2 linked regions of the Sus scrofa genome follow. The protein of the gene in region 2 binds, or shares a complex with, the protein of the main gene of each other region. Links are inferred from orthologs where the notes say so. Each region holds a gene or a part of one and is shown on either strand. Other genes may lie near its edges.

Region 1 (4,297 bases), on a different chromosome or scaffold from region 2:
CAAAGCCTAGCATGCTTCCTGCCCTCCTCGGCAAGCAGTACTTCTGGAGCTGCACCCTTCCCATCCAGCCTCCTTGGCAGTGTCCCAGGGGATAGGGACAGCAAGTTCTGTCCAGACCCGGCCACTGGGCCTTCCTGGATTCAGCCCACCCCCAGTAGGGATGGTGCATGCTGGGATCTCTGATCTTGCCTGCGCTGGCCCCTTGTTCATCTTCCTGAACCTCCTCCACTCACTGTAACCCCTTCCCAGGAGCCCCACCAGCTTGGGAAAACTTTGTCTTTAAATACTCCTCAAAGTTGACCCCCAGAATATTTTTCTGCTCATCCTTTGTTGTGATCAAGCCGCAAGTGATGGAAATGGACAGAGTCTGAATGTGGGCACACTGTTCTAAAATGTCGCAGACCCCGGAACCTCACAGGCCCAGACTGCGCCACAGCTTGTTGGCTTCCTTAGGCCAGGGGGACGTCTCCTGGACATGTCCTGGCCTCAGAGCTCCCCCCTCCCTGTCCTTTGTCTCAGACGGCACGGTTCTCCTGACTGACAAGTGTGGTTCATGCAGCCGCCCAGCTGACATGAGTATGAGCAAAGATCAGCCCCATCTGAGACCAGTGACAGAGCTCCTCTGGGATCCCGGGGCCAGCAGGTCTCACCGTGTAAGTGGTGTTCATAGAGACCAGGCCAGGATCTCTACAGGGCTGCCTCCCTAGCTCCTCTCTCAGTCAGACCCAAGGTGGAGAAGTGGCAGCCAGAATGCAGCCACCCAACTGACGGGCTTACGGTGACTACCACGACCTTTAGCACAAATCGCCTTAAATCTTACAACTCTCTCCCGAACCAGAGACTCGGGAGGTGAAATGACTTGCTCCAGGACACACTTGTGGGGAGTAAGTGAGGGACCTGGGATTTGAACCCGAATCTGGTCTGACCCAAAGTCTCCATAACCTCACTGACTTCTATGTGCCACATTCACCCATGAGCTCACTGGACAGACGAGAAACCGAGACACAAGGTACTTGAGCCACAAGTGCTTATTGCAGTTGCACAGGAAGTAGGCTTCTTACTAACTCTGACATAAGGTTCCCACCCCACTGCCCACACTAGGTCCCAGTGGTTAGCAGGGGTCTTCTGGGAGTTTTGTGCTGTTTTTTCTATATTTGGAGGACTTTTGGGTCTTGTTTGTTTCCTGGATTCTTTGTTCCCCTGGCCCAGGAGATGGAACATATGTCACCCAGTCTCAAGATGCCTCTGAACAGAGCTGGCAAGGAAATGAGAAAGGATCCTAATTAGGGGGCGATAACCCCACAGAGAAATTCAGACTCTTTGCAGCAGGCCTTGTCCTTCCCACAAGTCTTGTGTGTTTGTCAGATGTTTATAGAGCCTTCATTAACGCAGCTCTCCCTCAGATAAGAGGCCTGAACACAGCATCAAGGGCCAGATAAGAACAAGTGGAGGGCACTCCGGGGACGGCGGGTGGGTGAGAGCCTGTGAACGGGCCTGGGCGCGTGGGGTGCGCGGTGGAGAGCTTGTGGGCAGGACAATGCGTGCCGGCTCCTTCCGGGCTCCTCCCCGCACCCGCTAACACACTGCAGCTGCCGCAGTCTCTGAAGCAGGGAGAGAGCACCCCAAGATGTGTCGCGGGGTGCTCTGGGTGGCCCTGCCTGTGGCGCTCTCCCTGCTGGTGTGCTCCACGCAGGGGAAGCCACTGGACAGCCGGGTGAGGGCCTCGGCTGGGGGAGATGCCCACCGCCTGCTAGGAGGGGCCGGAGGTGAGCAGGAACGGGGCACCTTCGACCTGAGGATGTTCCTGGAAAACATGAAGGTGGATTTCTTGCGCAGTCTCAACCTGAGCGGGGTCCCCTCCCAGGACAAAACCCGAGCTGAGCCACCGCAGTACATGATTGACCTGTACAACAGATACACCACTGACAAGACGTCCACCCCCGCGTCCAACATCGTGCGCAGCTTCAGCGTAGAAGGTAGAGTCAGCCCATCCGGGCGCCTGGTGTGGGGGCGGGGGGCTCAGTGGTCCATGGATGCTGCTGCCCAATATGGCGGCCAGTGGAAACATGGGACTCTTGATGTTTCCATTTATGTTAATTTAAAGGAAATAAAATTAATAATTTAGTTCTTTGGTTTCACTAGCTTGAATGCAAGTGCCCAGCAACCATGCATGGCTAATTGCTGCCCTATAGGACAGTGGCGATTATAGAACAGTTCCCTTACTGCAGACATTTCTATTGGACAGCTCTGCTCTAGAAGATTCTCCCTCCCTGGGCCCAAAGCCACATTTAACACCAGAGGTGCTGAGGAAATGTCAGCTCCCTTTCTTCCATCCTTTCTCCTACCTCCTCTTTGCCATACTGTCCCCTTCCTGCTTAGACAGCTTATTTACCATCCAACCAACTGGTATATTTTTGAACACCGAAAGAATGTCTGCTTCTCTCTCATCAAAAGGTGTTTAAAATTCAGATTAATTCCTTCAAGAGAGAAACATTGGAGGACAACTTATTTTCCAAACATTAAATAATTATCCTGACTTAGGCAGACTAGAAGATAATAAATGTCAACTTAGGACTTAAGTCTACTAATTTATTTGCACAACGTAGGTGACAAGATCTTGTGAGCAGGGGAGTCAAGGCTTGCAGACCCTGAGGGAACTTGCCCAGTTCACATGTTAGTTAAGCAGCTGACCGCTTAACTAACATTAGTTAAGGCTGCCCAGCTCAGCCTTTTTCTGCAGCTGCAGCCTCTCTCTAACCAGCCAAGCACTCGGGGCCTCTTCTCTCCTGGGCTTGGGACCTGCAGACTCCTAACAGATGTATGCCTTATTTAAAGGATGCTGTGGTCATGCCACGTGCCCAGCAAGACTGTATTTTCTTTTTTTAATTTCCTTTTTTTTTAAAATTAAAGTGTAGTTGATTTATAATATTGTGCCAATTTCTGCTATATTTTCTGATGTCCCTGGAGTTTATATGAACTTGCTTGATTTTTAAACGCTGGCTTAATATTTTTTTAATGCGGTCTCAGGTCATCCAGATGCTGCTAATGTCTCACTGGTGCATGTCTGTAACCTCTGCTTTAGGGGAAGGCTGGGCTCTCTTGGCTGGACCAAATCACCAAATCACCAAATCCCATAGTCTAGGAGTGCAGTGTTGGAGCTATATCAGTGACTTCCCACCCACACCCCGCCCCCAGCATTGTCATTGTCCCAGAAACAAGTGATCTGATCCCAGCTCTGCCTGTGGCCAGCACTCCTATGGAGGCCAGTTATGCTTCCCTTCACACAGCCTGAGTGCAGTTCAGGCAGGGAGGCCCTTGTTTTCTAGATGTCTGATGCGCTCCCATGGCCATGTTCATAGTGGGTCCTTGAAACACTGCTCATAGACTGCACTCACTACTCACATATGCTATAGTGCCTCGCCACCCACCACAGGAACTAGGATGGCATGTCCACTCTGGGTCAGGGGACACAGAGATATATGAAAGGCATGTGCTAGGGTGCATACATAGGCAAGAAGGACACAGAAATATTGAGTATCTGCTGTGAGCCAGAGACAGCGTAGGGCAAGTCCCATGTACCTTCTTGTCAAAGCCTCACACCGACCCTGGGAGGCTGGACAGATGAGCCCCATTTTCCAGATGAGGAAACAGGCCCAGAGGAACTCGGGAGAGTCAAGATTGGCACTCAGTCTGTCAGGCATGGCCAGGTTCACAACAGCACCCAGTCTTCCTTCACGTTGGCACATAGTAGGAGCTCAAAAAACACAACACTTCTCTCTTTGTGACCGAACCATGGTATAATAAATGTGCTGGTGGCCATGCAGCAGCCTGGGGAGTGGGAAAGTGAGACAGTTGTGTAGCTAAAAGGCAAGCCCTCTTTGAGCCAAATGTGACTAAGCCATTGAGGTTAATATTTTTTTTACCTCAAACATTAAAAAAAAATCGGCGTTACCGTCATGGCTCAGGGGTAACAAACCTGACTAGGATCCATGAGGTTCGATCCCTGGCCTTGCTCGGTGCGTTAAGGATCCAGCGTTACCATGAGCTTTGCTGTAGGTCAAAGATGCGGCTTGAATCCAGCTTTGCTGTGGCTGTGGCGTAGGAGGGCAGCTGTAGCTCTGATTTGACCCCTAGCCTGCGAACCTCCATATGCCACAGGTGCAGCCTTAAAAAGACAAAAATAAATAAATAAATAAATAATCACCTACCTTCATTTTGCTCAGAAGTTACAATTCTGGGTGATTTTTATACCACTTAGATGCTGAGAGTTTTAACATCATCTTAGGCTGGAATTTCA
Region 2 (4,275 bases):
GATCCGGCGTTGCTGTGAGCTGTGGTGTAGGCCTCAGACGAGGCTTGGATCTGGCATTGCTGTGGCTGTGGCGTAGGCTAGTAGCTACAGCTCCGATTCGACCCTTAACCTGGGAACTTCCATATGCCGCAGGTGCGGCCCAAAAAAGACCAAAAAGAAACCAACCAACCAAAAAAACCCTATTTCTCTAAGTACTTCTATAGATACACTGGTCAAATGTCTAGCAGGATATCCACCAACCTGAGAAGGCTGACTTCTGGAGGACTCAGACGGCAGACAGGTCTGGTAAAAGAGACCCTGGTTTTATCTGTAACATCTAAATTTCTGCAACTAAATCTAGGTATGTTATTTATAAAACTAAAAATGAACAAAATCTTAAATGGGAAAAGTTATGGCCAAAGTGCCTACTACTACCTCACCTATAGCCAGGTATACCAGGGTATAACTAGGAGATCCCTGGATAAGGGAAGGTCTGGGAGGGGGTTTTCAGGGAAGGAGAGACAGGTCTCCCCAGAAGAGCCCTACAGGACCCACCCTCAGGTGGGGCGTTCACAGGAGGGGCCAGCCTGGTAGGAAACAAAACCAGAATTCGCCTCTAACTTTTTGCCCCTGTTTTCCAAGCCCCAGAGCCTGATCTCCTCTGCCACCAGGACACAAACCTCTACTTACGAGGCTAGGGTCACACAGCTCAACTCTAACACCCACTCAAGTCAACAGTTCCCAGGGAGACCCTGGTCTGCCTGGCTTGTGAGCATCTGAAGGGACTGCCAAAACTCAGGTATGAAAGATGAAGTTCCCGTCATGGCTCAGCAGAAACCAATGTGACTAGCAGCCACGAGACCAAAGGTTTGATCCCTGCCCTTGCTCAGCGGGTTAAGGATCCGGCGTTTCCGTGAGCTGTGGTGCAGGTCGCAGACGTGGCTCAGATCTGGGGTTGCTGTGGCTGTGGTGTAGGCCAGCGGCTACAGCTCCAGTTAGACCCCTAGCCTGGGAACCTCCACATGCTGAGGGTGCGGCCCTAAAAAGACAAATAAATAAATAAACAAACTCGGGTAAAAAAAAATTCCCAAACAGTACCTAAAGTAAGGGTTTCTTAACCCATGGCTGCCAGTCCAGAGATCTGAGATCTCATGCATCCTTTCTGAATCAGTGAGGAGAAAGGGGAACAGAGGGTTGTCAATGACACAGCGCATTAAAAGCATTGTCCTCATACCTGAAAACACCGTGCACCACTACACAAGCCAGAAGGAAAAAACATCCTGGCATCAACACTCAAGAGCAGCAGCTTCCAAATCAGCCTTCTGTTTTGATTGGTTCGGGTCTAGGAGGCAAGCAGGGGCACCTCCCTCTCTCCTCAGATGGACAGACAACAGCTGGTCTGGTCACATCTTCTGAAATGTCTGGCCACAAGCCCCAGGAAACAGCCTCTTCCATCCTCCAGCCAAGGGCTTGGGTTTCCAAGCAGTCTTCTTTTCCTTCCCCAGAACTAATTTTAGCCTCCTTGGTTGTCAGAGTAGAACTGAAATAGTCGGCAGAGGAACATTTGCAAACAAGAACATGCGCTCACCTCACAAAACACCTTAGCGCCAGCCCAGAAACCAGTCAGAGAGGAGTAGCAGACCAGGCTTCTAGTGAAGGGTCCCCTGGGAGGGGTCACATCTGCCCAGTGGGGCAAGCTTCCTTTCCAACACCTGCTTCCAGCAATCACATGGCCATAAATGAAAACACCTAGCTAGGGCTGCCAGTCCCTGAGTCTGAAAAACGCACATGTATGGGTACGGTAAGACTGAATAGCCAAGGCAAAGCGTGGGGCTATCCAAAGCAGGAAGCCAGGACTGGTCCTGGGCCAGAAGAGGCACTGGTGACCACCAAACAATCTCAGCCTGCCTTATCAGTCTGTTTCCAGTACCTACCATTGTCGCAGACAGAAACACTACTGAGAACTTAAAAAACAGACTCAGAAGAGAGCAGCAGCGTCTTCCCTCCCCCATCCCTATCCCCACCACCACCACCGCCCAACACCCTAGGCATCCAGGAGCAGCACCCCAGGACCTCAAGGGCCAGGCACCTCTTGGGCTAGGATAGCAGGCCTGTGAGTCTGATGGAGAAAAACAAAAAAGGAAGCCCCAATAAGGGGGTGGGTGTCCATTCTGGAACAAAGAACAGGAGATAAAGTAGGAAGGAAGAGAAAAAAAGAATTCTGAGATTCTTTTGTTGCTACAGGTGGCAACAGAGCCACCTGTGGAAAGACCCCAAAAGAGATGAGAAGCAGAAAGTCTCAACCCTAGCAAAAAACAAAAACAAAGACAAAAACAAACAAACAAACAAAAAACCTTTTAAACAAGCACTCCACACCCCAACGACAAGGAGAACTTGGAAACTGAAGAGTGCTTCCTCCCACCCTAAGAAGCGTCTGTAATCCATTGCAAGTGTAGCAAGCTATGTCTTGTTGAGTTCAGATCAGACAGGAGACCCCAGAAAGCTCCCCAGCGAACCGCGAGTATATCAGGGGAAGAGTGGAGAAGGATCACCAGGTTGCCAGCCTGCCAAGCCCCACCAGCAGGCGCCGGTAAAGACCACCCTCCAGTCGGGGCGCCATCCGGGTCGCAACCACGCGCCCCTACCTTTGGGGAGAGGCGGCGCCCCCGGCCCGACGTCCGCGGGCTCGGAGTTCCAGGCCCAGGGCGGCGGCGGCTCCCCAGGGGAAGGCATGCCTGGCGCTCTGCTAGGCCCGCAGCCGGCGTCAGCTCCTGTGGCTGCCAGGTGCGCACACAGGGGCGCCGGGCGGCGCTGAGGCCCAGGCCTCGGCTCTTCTTGACATTCTGCGCGGCGGGCCAGCGAGGAACGATGTGAACCTGGGCGCCTTGGCCGCGGCTACGGCGGTGGGCGGGGGCGGCAGGCAGGCTGCCCGGCCACCCATAACCGCCGCCTCCCTGAAACCCGAACCACTTCTGGGAAAACTCAAGGACGCCAGGTTTCTCCTCGGTGGCCGGCAAGGCTCTCGAGCCACGATTTCGAATCAAACGGACGCTGGGCAGCTTTAAGAGAAGCAAGAACTCTCCTAGGCTTCGGAGAGAATCCATCCTCCCACCCTGATTTCCATGAGGGGAAGAGGACAGGCATTAGCCACTAACCTCACCTCCCATAACTGTGTTTCCCTTTAAAAACATGAGAACATTCTACATCAGAGATTCTCAACCTCAGGTGATTTGCAGAACCCCCCCCCGCTTCTCCCAGGGAATTTGTGGTTGTCCTGATCTGAAGTACTACTAGTGGAGTTCCCCTCATGGCTCAGCCATTAACTAATCCATGAGGACACAGGCTCAATCCCTGGCCTTGCTCAGTGGATCCAGTGTTGCTGTGAGTTGTGTGGCTGTGGCCAGCAGCTACAGCTCTGATTTGACCCCTAGCCTGGGAACCTCCACGTGCCAAGGGTGCAGCCCTAAAAAGCAAAAAAAAAAAAAAAAAAAAAAAAAAGTGGTACTAACATTGTGCGGGTAGAGGTGAATTATGCTGCTAAACACCTTACAGTACCCAGGGCAGCCCCCTCTCCCACCCCCTCCCGGCGACAATCATTGGAGCCAAACTGTCAAGTGTCAAGGTTGAGAAACCCCGTTGCAGAATGAGGTCTACCCAGCCAGGACCCTACCTGAGGGCTGTCTCAGTGTCCTTCTCAAAAGTATTACCCAGATTAGCCCCTTCCTCCCCTAGGCCCCAGATCTCAGTCCCTGGTAACAGGCCAGTGTCTGCCAATGGATCTAAGCTCTGGTCTGTTGTCCCTTGGTTCTCACCTGCACTACTCTGAGCTCCCAGGTAGGGTGCTGAATACACAGGCCCCGGCGGGGTGAGGTGGGGGGGCTTCCTGGTTGGGGGTCAGGGGAAGGCCAGGGCTGGCATGTGAACACTGGGGGCAGGGTCACATAGGGCAAAAGTAAAGAAGCCATACTCAGTGGCTAGAAAGGTAGGGGGAGACAGCAGTATGGAAACTACCCTAGTGTACCCTGTAAGGACAGCAAGTTGCCCCTCAGGACTGATACAGAGGGAATGTGCAGGGCAGCCAGGACTTCACGGAGTCCAATCCAGGGAGCCATAATTTCTAGGTATCAGTACAAACAGCAAGTGTGCATGTGCAATGCATCTGAGTACTCTCACATTTTCCAGGGGAAGGGTCCACAGCTTTCACCAAATTCTCAGAAGGGCTGGGAGCTCTTCACTGGGCTCCCTGCAAAGGAAGTTCCTTAGGTGAAGTGCCAGGGGAAATGCAGGTGCTATCTG

Evidence for each region. The genes of interacting proteins can lie anywhere in the genome.
Region 1: the proteins of ACVR2B (region 2) and GDF2 are in contact, whole or in part, in a crystal structure (PDB 4FAO), measured with the Homo sapiens proteins. The link is inferred for Sus scrofa from reciprocal best matches to the Homo sapiens genes ACVR2B and GDF2. Residues at the interface, in NP_001097.2 of Homo sapiens: Asn35, Glu39, Cys49, Glu50, Glu52, Lys55, Leu57, Tyr60, Ser62, Arg64, Val73, Lys74, Cys77, Trp78, Leu79, Asp81, Phe82, Asn83, Glu94, Gln98, Val99, Phe101; in NP_057288.1 of Homo sapiens: Arg333, Ile346, Ala347, Pro348, Lys349, Glu350, Tyr351, Glu352, Lys397, Ser399, Pro400, Ile401, Ser402, Val403, Leu404, Lys406, Gly410, Val411, Pro412, Thr413, Leu414, Tyr416, His417.

The regions. Positions count from the first base shown.
Region 1 is NC_010456.5:88,510,566-88,514,862, reverse strand, and holds the start of GDF2 (growth/differentiation factor 2), read left to right. Parts: upstream 1-1,446; 5' UTR 1,447-1,627; coding exon 1,628-1,976; intron 1,977-4,208; exon of another isoform or gene 4,209-4,297. UniProt on the Homo sapiens protein: Potent circulating inhibitor of angiogenesis. Signals through the type I activin receptor ACVRL1 but not other Alks. Signaling through SMAD1 in endothelial cells requires TGF-beta coreceptor endoglin/ENG.
Region 2 is NC_010455.5:23,241,567-23,245,841, reverse strand, and holds the start of ACVR2B (activin receptor type-2B), read right to left. Parts: upstream 2,858-4,275; 5' UTR 2,713-2,857; coding exon 2,625-2,712; intron 1-2,624. UniProt on the Homo sapiens protein: Transmembrane serine/threonine kinase activin type-2 receptor forming an activin receptor complex with activin type-1 serine/threonine kinase receptors (ACVR1, ACVR1B or ACVR1c).